Sus scrofa: one gene and its partners. The protein of the gene in region 2 interacts with the protein of the main gene of each other region in a biochemical or structural test. Links are inferred from orthologs where the notes say so. Each region holds a gene or a part of one and is shown on either strand. Other genes may lie near its edges.

The links.
Region 1: the proteins of NRIP1 (region 2) and ESR1 form a complex in vitro, tested with the Homo sapiens proteins (4 studies listed by BioGRID, with this or other methods). The link is inferred for Sus scrofa from reciprocal best matches to the Homo sapiens genes NRIP1 and ESR1.
Region 3: the proteins of NRIP1 (region 2) and THRA form a complex in vitro, tested with the Homo sapiens proteins (4 studies listed by BioGRID). The link is inferred for Sus scrofa from reciprocal best matches to the Homo sapiens genes NRIP1 and THRA.
Region 4: the proteins of NRIP1 (region 2) and NR5A1 form a complex in vitro, tested with the Homo sapiens proteins (2 studies listed by BioGRID). The link is inferred for Sus scrofa from reciprocal best matches to the Homo sapiens genes NRIP1 and NR5A1.

Annotation. Positions count from the first base shown.
Region 1 is NC_010443.5:14,488,366-14,492,424, reverse strand, and holds the start of ESR1 (estrogen receptor), read left to right. Parts: upstream 1-1,259; coding exon 1,260-1,711; intron 1,712-4,059.
Region 2 is NC_010455.5:179,913,388-179,917,534, reverse strand, and holds the start of NRIP1 (nuclear receptor-interacting protein 1), read left to right. Parts: upstream 1-1,308; 5' UTR 1,309-2,651; intron 2,652-3,316; exon of another isoform or gene 3,317-3,645; intron 3,646-4,147. UniProt on the Homo sapiens protein: Modulates transcriptional activation by steroid receptors such as NR3C1, NR3C2 and ESR1. Also modulates transcriptional repression by nuclear hormone receptors.
Region 3 is NC_010454.4:22,282,361-22,286,581, reverse strand, and holds the start of THRA (thyroid hormone receptor alpha), read left to right. Parts: upstream 1-1,421; 5' UTR 1,422-1,557; coding exon 1,558-1,610; intron 1,611-3,985; coding exon 3,986-4,053; intron 4,054-4,221.
Region 4 is NC_010443.5:265,308,748-265,312,918, reverse strand, and holds the start of NR5A1 (steroidogenic factor 1), read left to right. Parts: upstream 1-1,371; 5' UTR 1,372-1,649; intron 1,650-4,171. UniProt on the Homo sapiens protein: Transcriptional activator. Essential for sexual differentiation and formation of the primary steroidogenic tissues. Binds to the Ad4 site found in the promoter region of steroidogenic P450 genes such as CYP11A, CYP11B and CYP21B.

The DNA.
Region 1 (4,059 bases), on a different chromosome or scaffold from region 2:
TCAGTTCAGAACTTTTTACTATTTCTTTTCCAATCTGAATATTTGATTCTGCTTATCCTAGTCCAAGTGAACCAAGAAGGTCCAATTGTAGGATAAAAGAACAGACATGTATCATTGCATTTCAAAATGTGTTTGGTGAGACCAACAGTGTAGATTTGGTTAATGAGCCGAGGTTATGCTTTTTTTCTGGAAAGGTCACATTTCATATTCAGTTTTCTGAAGTTTTGGTTGCATAATCTGTGGAAGGCATGAATACCCATGTCCGCCTAACGGGAGGTTTCTGTAAATCGTCATTCACATTAGAATTCCTGATGGGAGCAAGTACAGTACTGCGGCCAAAGACAAACAGACAAGTCGGGCTGGGGGAATCTCAGATAGTCTTGGCTGGAGGGGATGACTTTGGGAGAATTTTGCAGATGAGGAGAACTGAGCTGGGCAGCACTCCCCTGACTGCAAAACGCAGCTCTTTCTATAGTACACCTTGAGTCTCCGCCCCCTTTCCCCCAGATGCCTCTTATCTGTCCCCCGAGCTGCTAAATATAGCCGTCTGCCTATGCACCCGCACACCCCATTCTATCTGCCATATCTCGGTTACAGAGTGGTCCTCCCCAGGGTCATTCTCTGTACACACTCCGTATTTCCAGCCAACGAGGAGCGTGAATCCAACAGAGAGAGAGACAAACAGAGATAGATTGGAGCCTGGCACGGGGCACATAAGGTAGCACGTTCGAGAGAGCCGGCCCCTGGATTAGTCTTCCGAGTTTGTTTTAAACCCCGTCATCTCCGGACCACCTTTAGGAGATCCCTCTGCGCCTCCGCCCTCCTGCAGTGAAATGCAGCCTCTATCCAGCAGCGACAAGTAAAGTAAAGTTCAGGGAAGCTGCTCTTTGGGATCGCTCCAGAACGAGTTGCGCCTGGAGTGATGTTTAAGCCAACGTCAGGGCAAGGCAACAGCCCCCTGGCCGGCTTCCAGCACCTTTGTAATGCATATGAGCTCGGGAGACCGGTACTTAAAGTTGGAGACCCGGGCCCGGGAGTTGGCGGAGCGCGCTCGCGCCGGGCTGCACTTGCTCGCGTCCGGCCGCCCCGCTCCCCGGGACGGGCCGGCTCCCGGGGCAGGGCCAGAGCTCGCGTCGCGGCGGGACATGCGCCGCGCCGCCTCTAACCGCGGGCTGTGCTCTTCTTCCAGGTGGCCGGCCGGCTGCTGAGCCCTCCGCCGCGGGGGGAAACGGTTTGCGCCTTGCCCGCGGCCACTGACCATGACCATGACCCTACACACCAAAGCGTCCGGCATGGCCCTGCTGCACCAGATCCAAGCCAACGAGCTGGAGCCCCTGAACCGCCCGCAGCTCAAGATCCCCCTGGAGCGGCCCCTGGGCGAGGTGTACGTGGACAGCAGCAAGCCCGCCGTGTATAACTACCCCGAGGGCGCCGCGTACGACTTCAACGCCGCGGCCGCCGCCTCCGCGCCCGTCTACGGCCAGTCGGGCCTCGCCTACGGCCCGGGGTCGGAGGCGGCGGCGTTCGGCGCCAACGGCTTGGGGGGCTTCCAGCCGCTCAACAGCGTGTCTCCGAGCCCGCTGGTGCTGCTGCACCCGCCGCCGCAGCTCTCGCCCTTCCTGCACCCCCACGGCCAACAGGTGCCCTATTACCTGGAGAATGAGCCGAGCGGCTATGCGGTGCGCGAGGCCGGCCCTCCCGCCTTCTACAGGTACCCGCGCCGCCCGCCGCGCCACGTCGGGGTGGCCGCCGCGCACCCGGCGGCGGGAGGGAGCGGGGGGCGAGGGGCCGCGCCGCCGGGAGCTCGCGGGGCCCGCAGGCCGCGGGGCTGGGCACCCGGCAGCCCGGCCGCCGCCGGCGCCGCGGACGCGCGACCCGAGGGCTAGGGCGCGACCCGGCCCAGGGTCACGGGTGGATCTCGCGTTCGAGAGTCAAGTTCTCCGGCCTGGCAGCTTAAAAAAAAAAAAAAAAAAAAAAAAAATTTCTACTCTCCACCCCGCCTACTGTCTGCGTGAGAAGCAGGTCCGAAACCCCGTGTGCTTTCCAACTAAACCAGTATTAGAAAACCGTGCAAAGCAGAGGTTATTTGTGGGGAGAAACGCCCCAGACCAAATAAGCACAAGGTGCTTTGAGTCCCTAGAAAAGGTCCCGCTTTGGCTGTAGGTGTTGGGGCAGGCGGAGCTCAGAGTTTTCTTTTTTACATAGTCTTATTATTTTACAAATTTGTTTTAACGTGCTTGCAAAATTTCCTTTCACCTAGAATTTCGGATTGGCTATGTGCACGCTGTGCCGCTGGTGAGCTGGTGATGGTGATGAGGGGGTGCTCATTTCCTTGGGAAGCGGTTCCTAGCAGCCCTTTGCTTGTCCTCCCTGTCCCACCTCCGAGGGAGGCTGTAGGACTGACCGAGCGCTGCTCAGATGAGCAAGGGTTGAATGGGTCTCAAGGAGTTTCTGATTTCTGAGTTATCTGGCGGAGTCCGTGTCAGAGCAGCTTGCTGGCAGAAGACTTCTGACAGCCGGAGATTTATAACTGTCCTGTGAGTTAAAAACATGCCACATCGAAGCACGAGTGTTTTGAAATACTTCCCTGCCAGCTAAGTTTCATTTCTGGCCTGCGGGGCTGAGAATGCCCTGGGAGTGGTGTGTATGGGTTCAGCCCAGTTCTGTGCCTTTCATTCTCAGGAGAAGCAACAGATAGTTAGTCGTTCAGGATAGACAGGAACACTTTTGTGACTTAAGAGGCAAGTGTTTTTTGTCCTATTTTTTTCCCCCTAGTAGACCCTATACTTTCCTTTGCTCCTCTTCCTCCCATTTTCCCTTTGACAGTTTCTCCCTTCTCTTCCTGATGGACTTTGCAGAGGGTTTAGGCAGGGGGTCCTGGTGGGTACCTGCACCCTAGGTGCTGCTGGACAGGGATAGCCTGGGTGGGGTTGGGAGGCCTCCCAGCACCCTGGTGGCTGGATGCTGGGTTAGGCACTGCCTGGCTGGACACTGCTGGTGTGTGGACGTGCCCTCCACCCTCACCCAGACCCTTCTGTATTGCAAGCTGTGGGCCGTTTTTCTATTCAGCATCTATTTCCAGAGATATTTATAGCAGAAGAAACGGGAGGAAGGTGCATCGTGGCCCTAGAGAATTCTGGAGGCAGCCGCTGGGGGTATCTGAACATCTGCCACATCCTTCAGCCCCCTCAGAGGACCTTAGAATGTCACACAGCCAAGCAGGTCCATCCTGAGTTATTACTTAAAACACAAACAATGAACAAAACTTTAAAAAGTTGGCCTCTATCGAATCATTTTAACTTGTTTTCTGCAGGGTTAAAATGGAAAGAGAAAAAGAATTTATTCTGCCCGCTTTTTTTAAGTGTTAGAATCAAATATGACAATTAAATCTAATTCACACAACATTTTAAACTCCTTGATGTGAAGGAAGGCACTGATAGGACGTGAATTCCATAACCTTATGGTAGACTCCAGAAACAGTTTTCTTTTCCATTTAATTTTCAGTTCTTTTCTTGCAAATTAATGCCACTGAATTTCAATGGACACTAATGAGACTGCTTCTCAGTGGATTATTTACTGCCCTGCTAATAATTACAAAGTGAACATGGTCAAATAAAGAGGGGAATCACATTTTATTCAAAATTGTTCAGCATCCTGGTGGCAAATAATATCACTATAACATGCCCATCTTAAACTTTCTGCATTCGATGATATTCAGATATTTTTAGAATAATAAAAAAGTGATATGGAACTTTCAACTCACCCACATTGGATTCTGTGTGGAAATTCAGTTTTAGAATGATCATTCTCCTTTGTAGTTTATTTCCCATAACATCCATCCTTCCTTTCTTTTCTTTTCTTTTCTTTTCTTTCTTTGAATTCCGCCTCTTATTACCCAAGAAAGAGGGGAAGGATCTATAAAATAAGTTATTTCAAATGGAGAGATGTTACTTCATATTTTTTCCCCTCTCAGTTTTGCTGTTTGAATAACTTTTGGTAAAAAAGAAAAGAATTCATTGGACTCTTTTAGGAAACTTTAATTTTCTTCAGTACTTATCA
Region 2 (4,147 bases):
CCTGAATTGCCTTACCCCACACCTGAACCCCAAGTAGAATTAAAGACTCTGTCCTGTGGCTATGACAGTATCTTGTCCAATATCTACCGGATGGCTACCGCTGGCACACACAGTGTGCCAGGGATAAGTGATGGAGGTACCCAAATGTGAACGAGAGGGATATGGCCCCTGGGGCTGTAGTACTTGAACTTAGAATGGTTAAACATCCTGTCACCAACTGGTGTGAACAATGCTCTAGCAGGACAGACTCAGGGAGCACATCATAAGCACGCCTCTCCCAGATGCCTTCTTTGTGGGGGATGAACATATTGAGCCCGAACTGTAAGTCTCTGAGCCCACAGGAACCCCAGGGTTTGTAAACCTACTTGTGTGTTTAAGTATATAAGCTCAAGGGTGTCTTTTTCACATCACGATTGGTTATATGAGAGTTGTCTTCACTACACAAATTACTGAATAGGCATTCTTATATTACATATATGCCCCAGTATCCTTGCAATGACTCTCTTAGCCAGGAAACTTAGGTATTGATTTTTTCAAAAAAAAAAAAAAAAAACAAAGAACAACAAAATAGCCCCAACACAATTAGAATGATTAAGTAAAAATGAATTCTGCAAAAGGTGTGCAATTTACTTAACACTAATGCACTACCAAAAAGAGTTCAGGATTTCAATGATTGGAGTTCTGTGAGGTTGAGAAGAGAGCTTAATAATGAGGTGAGCAGCTTTGTTAAGTCACCTAACATATTGCAGCAGACTTTTTTAACACTAGTGTTGGAGGGCAAGACCAAAACTTGATATAACCTGACTTAGGAAGTTGTTTATCTACCAACTGCAATCATCTAAAACTCTTGCTAAGAAGCAAAAAGAATATTTTCAGAGCAACAGTTGAGCGGTCCAAATGTGTCACAGAATCTATGCACTAAGGTTCATGTGCTTTACTCCTTGGTGAGCACATTAGTTCCTTCCAGGGAACCCACTCAGTTTTACTTTAGACTGTATTGTGACAAGTGAGGCTATCTGGATTCTCAGACCTCACCAGACTAGCAGCTGCCAATCAGAAGAGGAGGAGAATGTTGGAGGCAGGCATGCTGGCAAAAGAGAGAAAAGACACCAGATTGTCAGTTAGAGAAGGGGGAGAGAAACTACAACGGGCAGAGATAATCACTCAGTCCCAGTATCCCAGAGTCTTTCAGGGCAGAGACTGATGGCTTATATACCTCCTGGGAGCAGCCTTAACACCTTGGAAGAAGCCTGATAAAGAACAGGAACTGGACGTAGTTGCTAAATCCACTATAACCTACTATATAATAAACACTTTAAATAAAATTAACCCAGAATTTCGACAAAAAGCCAAACTGTTTTAGAAAACAGAAATATTTATAATACATAGAAAACATTTGTACAAGAGTTAAAACAAGTTTGACTTTTTTTATTTTTAAACAAGTTTGACTCCTTAAAGAGCCAAGCTCCAATTATGCTGATCATCACTTAATTGGAAGACTTGGCTTTGCATCAATCCTGGGTTAATGTTATGCTATAGAACAGCAGACTTTACCAAGTTGTCTTGAACAGATTTCAAACAGTGGTATATGCAAATAACAAACTATCATAAGAGGTCTAAACTGTATAAGAGGGCGACAGACTGCACAGTTGAATCAACCACCAGAGTGATGTAAAAGAATTGTTCTAAAATGCAGTATCACCATGGAGCAAAATAAACCTACCATGTACCCAGCACTGTGCTACGGGCTGGATTTAAGAATTAATTTGAAAAATTGCTTTCACTTTTCAGATTGTGAAGGTATTCCAGAACTCTCATTCATATTTGTAAAGGTTAAATGACATTTTAAATGCACAGCACAGCCATTACATAACAGGCATAGAATACTGTTTATGACTTGGATAGTTCTTTTTTTTAAGTGCACCAGCAACTCTATTTTCAAATGCTATGGAATTCACAAGGTTTCCTACATAGAAGAATGGAATGCCTCATCCACTCACTTGTTTTGTGTAATAAGTGTTTTAAAACAGGCATGCCATTTCGGAGTTTAAAGGGAGGCTAAGCTGCACTTTAGCGTTTCGGAGCAAGCAAAAACAATTTCAGCAACGGTACTCATTTCCCCCGGTAATTTTGTTTTTCATGGCGAGTTACTAAATGCTAGATGCTAGTAGTCAAAAAGAAACCTGACATCTGGGGAGGTGTTGAGGGGGTGTTAATAGTTCTAGTTAGATGTCTGGGGAGCGCTGAGGATAAGATTTTAAAACAGCAAATACAGGGAGAAAGGGGAAATTACGGTTTCGTATGACTCTCTCCTCCCTCCACTTTCTCTCTTCACCAATCCTTATCCCCCTCAATTTAGAGGCGGGTTCAGCGAGATCTGGCTGCAGGAAACCAAGAGGCTCCACCGCGCTGCCGCCCCAGCCTCGTGATGTAATTGTTATTTCTTATTCGGAGCTTGAACCAGGGAGAGCTGCTGAAGAAGTGGCAGCCCTGTGCCTTTTGCCTTGTCTGGTCGGGTCAGATTCTTCCCGGGGATGATGTAGATTCGCTGACGGACTCCGCTGGAGACTTCGCAGTGACAAAGCAGCTGAAGAAAAACCCTGCTCCTGGGTCCTCCGTCCGTCTGGGGAGCCGAACGGAGCACTCCTCAGGTCTCCTTCCCAGTTTTCCTCTGGGAGTCACTCCGCATTTAATCCCTGGGTGCCTCCTACGTGCTGGGCGTGGGGTCCAAGTGACCTGCAGTTAGTGCCCCTGTCCCCCAAGATTAAAGCAAGACACACAGATTACAAGGTGGTGGAAGTTGGGGGTGGCGAGAAGGGGCCAAGGGGACGCGTGTCCTGGGGTGAAATGGAAGGAGGGGGCTCCTGAGGCGTCAGCACCCAGGAGGGGACCCCGGGCGTTCGGGTCCCCGGGCTGTGCCCCCCAAGGCGAGCATTTGCCCTGTGGAATGAGCTCGATGCCCCGGGCCCCTGGGACGAGCTGTCCCGGCGCCTTCGGCGGTGGGGGCGGCTGGACAGAGCCGGGAGCCGCGGGGGACTGCGCGAGCGCGTGGAGCAGCTACCTCTCCCCGCCACCGCGATCCTCCCGCAGCCGCGGGTCCCCGCAGCCCCCGCCCGACAGTCCGAAGGGCGGGCTAGGAGGAAAACAGCCAACCGAGGGGGGCTCCTCGGCTCCCGCGTGCTGCCGGGACCCGGGCTCCTGCCTCCCGCCCCGGCCACAATGGGAAAGAGGGGGAGAAAAGGGTTAAGAAACTTGGCTGAAGAGCTGAATGGCGTGGAGCGGCGAGGGGAGGGACTGGGCCGCGGCGGACTCGGCGGCGGAGGGAGGAGCGCGGCTGCGGGCGGGCGGCGAGCGAGGCGCTCAAAGTCAGCCTCGCAGACATTGCAGCAGAGCCCCGAACTCGGGAGGCGGCGGCGGCCGTGGCGGCGGAGGAGGAGGAGGAGGAGGAGAAGGCGGCCGAGGCGGAGGGACGATCCGGCCCCACGCCCGCGCGCCAGCCAGTGGCCTCGCGTCTGCTGCTGCGCTCAGCAGCGCTGCTGGTCGGAGGAAAGAGCTCGCCGGGGCGCCGGGGGAGGACCGGGCGGCGGGGCGCCTAGGCGGAGTGAGCTTGCCGGAGCCCGGGGCTTGGAGCCGCGGCGGCCTCGGGTGAGTGGCGGCCGCGGCCGGGGGGCTCAGAGGAGCGGCCGCTGGCGCCGCCGGAAACGACCCGGGAGCGCGGCCCGCGGCGGCGGCGGCGGCGTTGGCAGGCAGGGCCGCGGGGGCGTCGGGGCGTCGGGCCGGGGCTGCCTGCTGCGGGAACGGACGCGGACAGCACGGTGGGCTCGGCGGCCGGGCGATGTGTGGGGGTGGTTTCCGGGGAAATCCTGCCTCTCCTGCGGTGTTCGAATCTCCCCGGGAACTCGGGGGGCCCGGGCAGCGGGGCCGCAAGTTGGGGAGTTGGCTCCGGGCTCACTGGCGGGTCCGTGCGGGTCCTGGGCCGTGGGGCGGCCGCCTGGTGGCCCCGGAGCCGGGCCGGATACTGGGGGTCCGGGCCAGGGTCGTGCCCTGCTCGGCTGCTCTCTCGGCCCGGAGCCCTTCTCGCCTTGCAGCTCTGGGTCTCGCCGCCCCGGGCGTTCTGGGCGGCGCCGGGCGCAGCTCCCCGCCTCTC
Region 3 (4,221 bases), on a different chromosome or scaffold from region 2:
GCAAGGTCTCTGGGGAAGCAGCCACAGGAGGGAGGTTGTGTGTGGGGAGCTGCGCCTCTTGGCCCCTCTCACGTGCCCACACCTGCCTGGGTGGGCAGTCACCGAGCCTCAGGTGTGTAGCCTAGGGTCAGAGGTGCAAACCTGGAGGGAATGGTCGGCCCAGGTGGGCGGTGCCCTGGACCCCAGCTGGCAGAACAAAGCTAGCATTGGCGGCAGGCTGTTTGCAAGCTGTGTGAACTTGAGTGAACGGGCAAGCTTTCCGAGGCTTCTTTTTCTCACCTGCGAAGTTCTGATGCCCACCTGGGTGGACATATACTCTCTATTCCCTTAATGCCTGTTGGTTTCCTCTCGCCCTCCCTGTCCATCCCAGTGGGTGGCAGCTCAGCTAAACCAACTGGGAAGTCTGGTCCTCAGACTGGGAAGTGTGACTTGGGACCTTGTATGGGAAGCTCCTTGGGGGGCCGGGGTTGGAGAGGCCTAAGTCGGCCAGCAGCAGGGGAGGTCGGCTGGCTGCTCTTTTCAGCATCCCTCTCCATTGAGGCCCTCAGGTGGGCGCTCACACTTCCTTCACCGGGACCCCCCCCATGCCTGGGCTGAATGAAAGCTGCTCATCTCTGGTCACTTCTTCTTCTTCTTTTTTTTTTTAAGGGCCACACTCTCAGCACATGGAGGTTCCCAGGCGAGGGGTCCAATCGGAGCTCCAGCTGCCGGCCTCCACCAGAGCCACGGCAACACGGGATCTGAGCCGCGTCTGCGACCTGCACCACAGCTCACGGCAACACCGGGTCCTTAACCCACTGAGTGAGGCCAGGGATCGAACCCGCCTCCTCATGGATCCCAGCCGGGATCGTTAACTGCTGAGCCACGGAGGGAACTCCATCTCTGGTCACTTCTTTCCCTGTGATACTAACGACACCTTGGCTGAGGGGTGGTAACAAGGGCTGATGTGTAATAGACGCGTATGAAGGGGCCAGGCCCTTGCTTGACTGTGAGGCTTGAGACGTGCTACGTGGATTACCTCATTCTTTCCCTCCATCCCTTTCCATGTCTGGGGACCGGGATGTGAATCTCCAGCCTTGCCTGCTGTCTGTCGAGCCGAAGGGCTTCCCGGTCCTCTCCCGATGCCTGCCCTCCCTCCATGCCTACCACCATCTCGTGATAAGCCCCAAGAGCCCAAAATGTTGGCGCCGAAGGAATCCTATTCACCTCCTCCCACCACGGCGCCGCCTTATCCCTGCCTCTCTCCTCTCTCTGCAGGGACCTCCGGACAGGACAAGATTCCGAAGCTACTCCCCCAGCCCAGGACCCCCCCCACAGACTCAGCTTGCCCCCCAGCCCTACCACCTGCCACTCCCTGGCCCCCTTCTCACCGCCCGCTCCCCCCTTGGGGTGCAGGGCATGGTGTGAAAGGCCAAGTGCTGAGGCGGGCACCATGGGTGCTGTGCCCTAGGGCCTGGGTGGCGGGGGGTGGGTGGCCTGTGGGTGTGCCGGGGGGGCCAGTGTGCCCACCCCAGTCTCTTGGCGTGCTGGAGGGCATCCTGGATGGAATTGAAGTGAATGGAACAGAAGCCAAGCAAGGTGGAGTGTGGGTCAGACCCAGAGGAGAACAGGTAATGGGTCCGGCAACTAGGTGTCGTGCAGCAGTCGCTGGGCTGGGCCAGAGAGCACTGAGCTTGGGCCTTTTAGCACCCCTGGGGGGATGGGCCTGAGGCCGGCAAGCCTGCTGCCTACCTTTGCCCAGGAGATGAGGTCATGTTCCCATGTGGCTGGGAATTAGGCACCTGGAGGGAGAGATGCCCGTTTTGAAAGGGGGAGGGCGTGCAGCACAGAGTAATTACAGGCAGCAGGCATGCGGCCCCTCCCTTGTCAGTGCTCGGAGTCTCCAATGCCCCCCAGCTTCCCCTCAGCCACCCTCACCTGAGCATGTGGAATCCAAACAGCCTGGCCATTTTCCTCCTCTCCCTCCCAGCCTCTTCACGTCTGACCACTAGTGTGAGGTCCAGAAGCCATGGTGCGTGTGACATGGCATTTCAGGGCACCATGCACCAGTAACTGTTGATCACAACTCACGCTTATATTTGGAACATATTGGGAGCCTCACAAGCTCTTCCTTGTTCATGGGCAAGGGCGGGCAATGCCATGGGGCTCCTCCCAGGAAGTGGAAGTGAATGCCAGCTCTGAAGATTTGCTCCCACGTGGAGGAAGCATCAGCCCTGCACACACAGCTGGGGATGGGTTCCCTATGATCCGCATTGCGCTTCGGGCGTCCAGAGGGTCTCTGCCTCTCCCATCAGTTCCAAGTGGCACAGAGCTCGGTCTCAGTTGGCGTGGTGCCTTGGGAGCTGGGTACAGCCTGTGCCTATGGCCAGGGAGAGGGTGGGGGAGGGGTGCTCTGGGGAGCAGTGTGGCCGTTGCCTAGGAGACCAGATCCTGAGCCAGGAGGCCGGAGGCCTGGCCAGGCAAAGCCCTGGGGCCCAAGATTGGGTCCCTGGAGGGGTGGAGGAAGTGGATGGGGCTGGCAGTTGGGTAGGGCAATGGGGGTATCCCCCCCTCCCCAAGCCTCACCCCAGGGGGGCTCTGAAAAAAGATTTGGCCTGTCATCGTGAAGCTGTCACTTGCAGCCCCTGTTCTTTCCCGCCCACACTTCCATGGGTCTGGGAGGGTCGGCTCCTAATTCAGAGAAAGGCGGGAATGCTTAGTTCCTGTCCCCCAGGACTGCAGCCCCTCCCCGTCAGCCTCCCCTCCCCCATGTCCCCGCGCCACCTTGTGGCTGTCTCTGGGACTGCACCCAGAGGCTTTGCGTCTAGCTAATTGCTAAAGACCCGCAGCTCAACTGGGCTGGGGGAGGTCCCCTACACCCACCCCCCTCCGGAGGCAGGAGGGGGAGATGTGATTCTCCAACCGGTGTAGAAACCAGACCGGGTAATCCCCAGGGGATGTAGAGCACAGAGCTCCCTGTGACTGTGACCCTGGCCAAGGTCACTGTGTCAGTGTGCTGGGAGCTGCATCAGGCTGGGGAGTCGGGGGTAGGGCCCTGCAACATGCCACACACAGGGTGGGGGCGGGAGGTTATACAATCCGTGTGTGCATGTAGAAGGCTTATGTAACCTGTGTGTGCCAAGGTTATGTAACACGTATGTGGGGAGGCTGGCGACATATGTGTGCAGGGGCTGGGGGGTTGCTAACTCCTTATTTGGCGAGGCTTGGGGTCCTTGTCGCGGCTCTGACTCTAGCACACAGTGTCACCAGGCACCAGTGGGGCCTGGGTTTACTGCTCTGTTAAATGGAGGCCGTGGACAGAGTGGCCGTGGAAGTCCCCTCCTTTTCCCATATTATACTTGGTTTAGGTTCTAGTGGGCCACTGTGGCTGTGACCTGAAAATCAAGCGACATGTTCACTGGCGGGGGGAGGGGCATGGTATTATTAGGTGCCTGTCCGGAGGGTTGTGTAACACGTGGGCATACCCTAGAGGTCATATAACACATTTGAGAAAGCCCTGAAAGTCGCATAGATAGAGATGGTAGAGCCTGCTGCTTATTTAACTGTGCTTGGGTTTAAACGGCAGGCGGCGTAGCTCTTCATATGCGCTAGTCTTACGGTGCAGATGTACGTGTGTATTCGAAAGCTTGCATCGCTTTAAGCCCGTCCTGAAGATTCTTTCTGCTTGTGTGTCATGTACTGAAAGCTTAAATAGGTGGCTATCTTAGAGACGATGGGCGCCGAAGGTCCTGTAGCGCGTGCTCATGTGTGTATATAGGTGGGGGCCCTAGATCATGCTTGTGCCCCAGCCGAGCCCCTTATCTCTCACCCAAAGCTTCTAGATAGCCAGACCTTTTCCAGTTTTGTCAGCTGACCTGGGGGTGGGAGGTAGAACGAGGACCCGAGCTGGAGGGAGTCGGGCCTGGGGGAAGACCTCAGCCTGTTGAATGAGAAGGGGGCTGCCCAAGGACTGCTCTCTGATTCTGCCCACTTTGCCCCCATCCAGTGCCAGGTCACCAGATGGAAAGCGAAAAAGAAAGAACGGCCAATGTTCCCTGAAAACCAGCATGTCAGGTGAGCCTGGCTGCGTGTGCTCTTCCTCCCCACCCTGAACCCCAGCAAACCAGGCCAGGGCTCTTCCGGGGCCTGGGCGTGCACCCGCAATTCCTGTGTCCCGTGGGAAGAGCCTCTGAGAGAGCTTGGGAAGGATGTGTCTGGGATGAGAGGGGAGATGCGAGGCGC
Region 4 (4,171 bases), on a different chromosome or scaffold from region 2:
GAAGGCACATTTTTTGTTTGTTCGTTTGTTTGTTTTTAGGGACTGCAGGTGAGGTATGTGAAAGTTCCCAGACTAGGGGTCTGATCAGAGCTGTCGCTGCTGGCCTTCACCACAGCCACAGAAACGCAGGATCTCAGCCGCATCTGTGACCTACACCACAGCTCACAGCAATGCTGGATCCTTAACCCACTGAGAAGGGCCAGGGATAGAACCCACATCCTCAGGGATACTAGGTGGGTTTGTTTCCACTGAGCCATGACGGGAACTCCCGACATACTAGGTTTTAGATGTAGTTGGCTTTAGTTTTACAAAAGTCCCTCTCATCCCTGCCATATAAAGGAGGTGTTCTTTCTATGTGATTCGCCTGTTTCCGCGAATGAAGGGGGTTGTGCGTGGGTTCCACGTGGTGTCCCTGTTCCCTTTCCACCCCCTAGAACCAAAGGCTGGGAAGTAAATCCTCCAAGAACAGAGATGTCTTTCCTTTTCTTCCCTTTTCTCCAGTGCCTGGACCAGTGCCTGGCACCTAGTGTGCCCTCAGTGAATGTGAGATGAATGAAAGAATGCATAGAAGAGTGAGCCACCAGGGGAAGGGTGCAGAGCAGAGCATTTGGGCCCTGTGGGACCTGCACCTGTCTGGGCCTGGAGATGGGACAGGGACACCCTTAGCTGCGTGGGGAGGCCCGGCCTTCTAGACAAAACCCCCTTCCCTCTGCCCTGCCCCACCTATTCTGCTCTAGCTACCCATTCGCCCCACCACCCTGGGGCCACTGTAACCAACCACCTGGCCCCAGAGGCGGGTCTCAGCCCAGCCTCACCCCTCCCAGCCATTGACCAGAAACAGCAGCAGCCTGCAGTGGATGGAGACATTCAGAGAAGCCAACGTGGAAAGGGCACACGGGAGGCATTCATTCAGCTCACCTGCTTGTCTTCTGTCCCCCTCTTCCGTTCCTCACCTTCTGGAAGAGTAAAAAGACCAGGCCAAAGCAGCAGGGCCACCTGGTCAAGTCATCCATGCCTCTGCCTCCACGCCAGCCCGACCCGACTCCACTCTCATGTCTGGGCCAGGCTGGACCCCCGCTGGGCCAGGCCCCAGGGAGGTAGCCTTTCAAGGGGAGAGAGGCCCGGGCTGCAGGCCGGGTGGGGGAGCTGCCCATAAATCAGGCCCCACTCCCACCCAGTCGCTAACAAGCGGGGCTGGCTACCCGCCTACGTGGGGTCCCTGCCTCTGGGCTCCCACAGCGGCCTGGAACAGCCAGCTGGCCAAGGCCTCCAGAGTGCCTTGGCCTCCGCCCCCACCCGCGGCCCCGAGATAGATAGGGGTATTTTTTTTTTTTTCTTTTAGGGGAAGAAAAAAAAAATAGACCCAAATGAAGAGAAACACCAACAAAGAAGGAGAGAGGCCTGCAGAGTCACGTGGGGGCAGAGACCAATTGGGCCTCCGGTGGCCCCCCCACCCAGGGCGGGGAGGAGGAGGAGGAGGACGGACGGACAGGGCCAGCCTACTGTCCGCCCGCCGCCCGCTGTGGCGTGAAGGAGTTCTTGTGTGCCCACGGTCGCCACTGCCCCACCTGGGCTGCTGGAGCTTCCCCTTGGAGCCCCCGGTGCCCACTGTCCACCACCATCCAGCGTGAGAGCTCGCCTTCCGCTCCGTAAGTGAGGGCCTTGGCCCAGGCCTCTAATGGCCAGCCTCCCTCCTCAGTGCCTCCCTGCGGCCTGGGCCGGCCACTGCCCGCTCTGCGGAGTGACTGGTGCCCGCTGCTCTGGGCAGGGAAGGGGCCAAAGATCTCCCCAGACCTGCCTTCCCTCCATGCTTGCCCCTCTTCTCTCCTGGGTGGCTGATGGGAGGAGCTAGGCCTATGAGGACAGGCCCCACGGGGGTCTGTGGGTGTCCTGCTGTCTATGGGTGGCCTGGAGTTCACAGGGCTGTGTTGACTCAAGCCTCTTCGTCTGTGAGTGTGTCCGTGGTCCCTGGGTCTGTCTGTGGGTCCCTGGGTCTCCCTGCCTGCAGGTCTGTGCTGTCTCTGTTGATGTCTCTGAGTCTCTGTGTGGATTCACGCGTCTGTCTCCAGTATCCATCTGTCAGTCCAGGTCCTGTGTCTGGGCTGGGACTGTGTTTGCTTCCCTGGGTAGGTGGGTGAGGGGCTGTGAATCCCCCACATGTTGAGCTGGAACCTGGGGCTAGGGGCTGGTGCCTTGAAGCCTGGAGGATCAACCCACGAGCTCCCAAACTGTGACGGTGGAACCTCTGGCAGAGGGGATCTAGGTGGAGAGACAAGGGGAGAACTGGCTCAGAGCCCAGTCCCCACCCCACCTAGGCCCCCAGCCCAGGCTTGGGCTTCCACTGCCTGGGTCTGCCTCACCAATGTCCAGGAGACCCCAGTGGGCTCCTTCCTAGAGAAGCTGATTGGGGATCCCCCAGCCCAGGCCCCTGCTTCCCTTCACTCTGCTGCCAGGTGGTGCTGCTCCTCTTTTCTACTTTCTGAGGGCCCTCCCTGAGGGGTTCAGAGGCAGTAGCCCCCACCCCCAGCTCAGTTACTCTTGTGCCTCAGGGGCTTGGTGGGGGATGGGGAGGGGTCGTGCAACTAACTCTCTTTCCTCCCTCCTCACCAAGACTGGTCCCTGGACTCGCAAGGAAACTCCCACTGGAACGCTTCTGTAGGGGCTGATCTTTTCCATTTTGTATATGGAGAAACCGAGGCTCAGAGAAACGAAGTGATCTGCCAGAGCTGGCATCGAGAGTCGGCCGCAGATTCTGCCCTCCATTCCGCCGCGTGAGGGAGATGAGAGTTGGTCTGTGCCGGGTCGTGGGGCCTCAGATCGCAGGACCAAGGCACCAGCTCCTAGCAAAGCTAGAGGCCCAAGGGGGAGGGAGTGGGGGTGGGCTGGGGTGGGGGCGATGCAGGGGCCCAGACGAAGCCAGCCGCAGCCAGGGTCCCAGCCTTCAGATCTGGGCCCCTCCGTCGGCTGCGTCGTTGCGAATACAAAATTGTGATATTTCCCGGCTTGTAGATGGCTTTTTGGCTTCGCTGTTCTCAGCACTCTCTAGGACCATAGATGCCCAACGGGGCAGGAGCAGGATCCGAGCAGGCGACCTCCCCCACCCTAGAGCAATGGTTCAGCTCCTCCCGGCTTGACCCCGGGAACCCCTTTTCCCCCGGGGGGCTGCAGAGCACTCACTTTCCTGCCTCCAGCTCCGGGTAAGAGCGTAGAACAGGAGAGAGGGCTTTCTCCTGCCCCTGGGCTCTGTTTTCCCAGCTCCCGCGCCCTTGGTGGCTTCGGGTCCTCACCAAACCTCAGAAAACCCGCAGGGTGGGATTACCACTACTCCCACTTCCAGCCAAGCAAACTGAAGCTCAAGGAGGAGAAAGAGTTTGCCCCAGCCCTCCCAAATAATTGGACGCTCTCGATCGTTCCGCCGTGCTAGGCATGTGCTCTTTCAACTCCACTTCGGTTCATCCGACCACCTTTAAAGAAGTCCAGTCATCCATCCCACTTTACGGATGAGGACACTGAGGACGAGGAAATTTGCTTCAGTTTCCAATGAGGAAATGTGCCTGGACCAGGCGAGAACCCACTTTCTAGCCTTGAACCCGTGCCTTGGCCACGGCCACCCACGCTTGCTCTACCTACTTCCACGCTGCAAACCGACCAGCGCCCGAGCGTGGTCCCGGCCACAACTAAGCTGGATTTGCAAACAGGGACTCGCCTCCTTTCACCGCAGGCGGGTGGCCCGAGGCTCCCAGACGCCCAGAACCTGCTCGGATTCCGGGGTGCTCGGATTCCGGGGCGCCCGGGCTCCGGGAGCCGGGCTGGGGATGAGGGGCCGAGAGGGTGAGGGTAACGGCGCGAACCCGGCTCGGTGGCGGCGGAGGGTGCGGGCCGGGCCTCAGCCCCGGGATACCGCACGCGCCCAGATAGAGGGGCCGGCCCCTGGCCCCGGCGCGGCGGGTTCCCGCAGCACACACTGGCGGCGGAGGGGCCAGGGTCCCAGGTGCATCTCCGAGCGGCCCTGGAGGCGGCGGGGGCGGGGAGGCGGGGTGGGGGAGCGCCGAGGCCCCGCGCCGCCAGGCCCGAGCCCCCGCCTCCCCGCCCCCGGCCCGAGCGGCCGTCATCGCGGGCGGGCGGCGCTGCGCCCGGGTGCGGCTCATCGCCGGCGGCGGCGCGGCAGGGC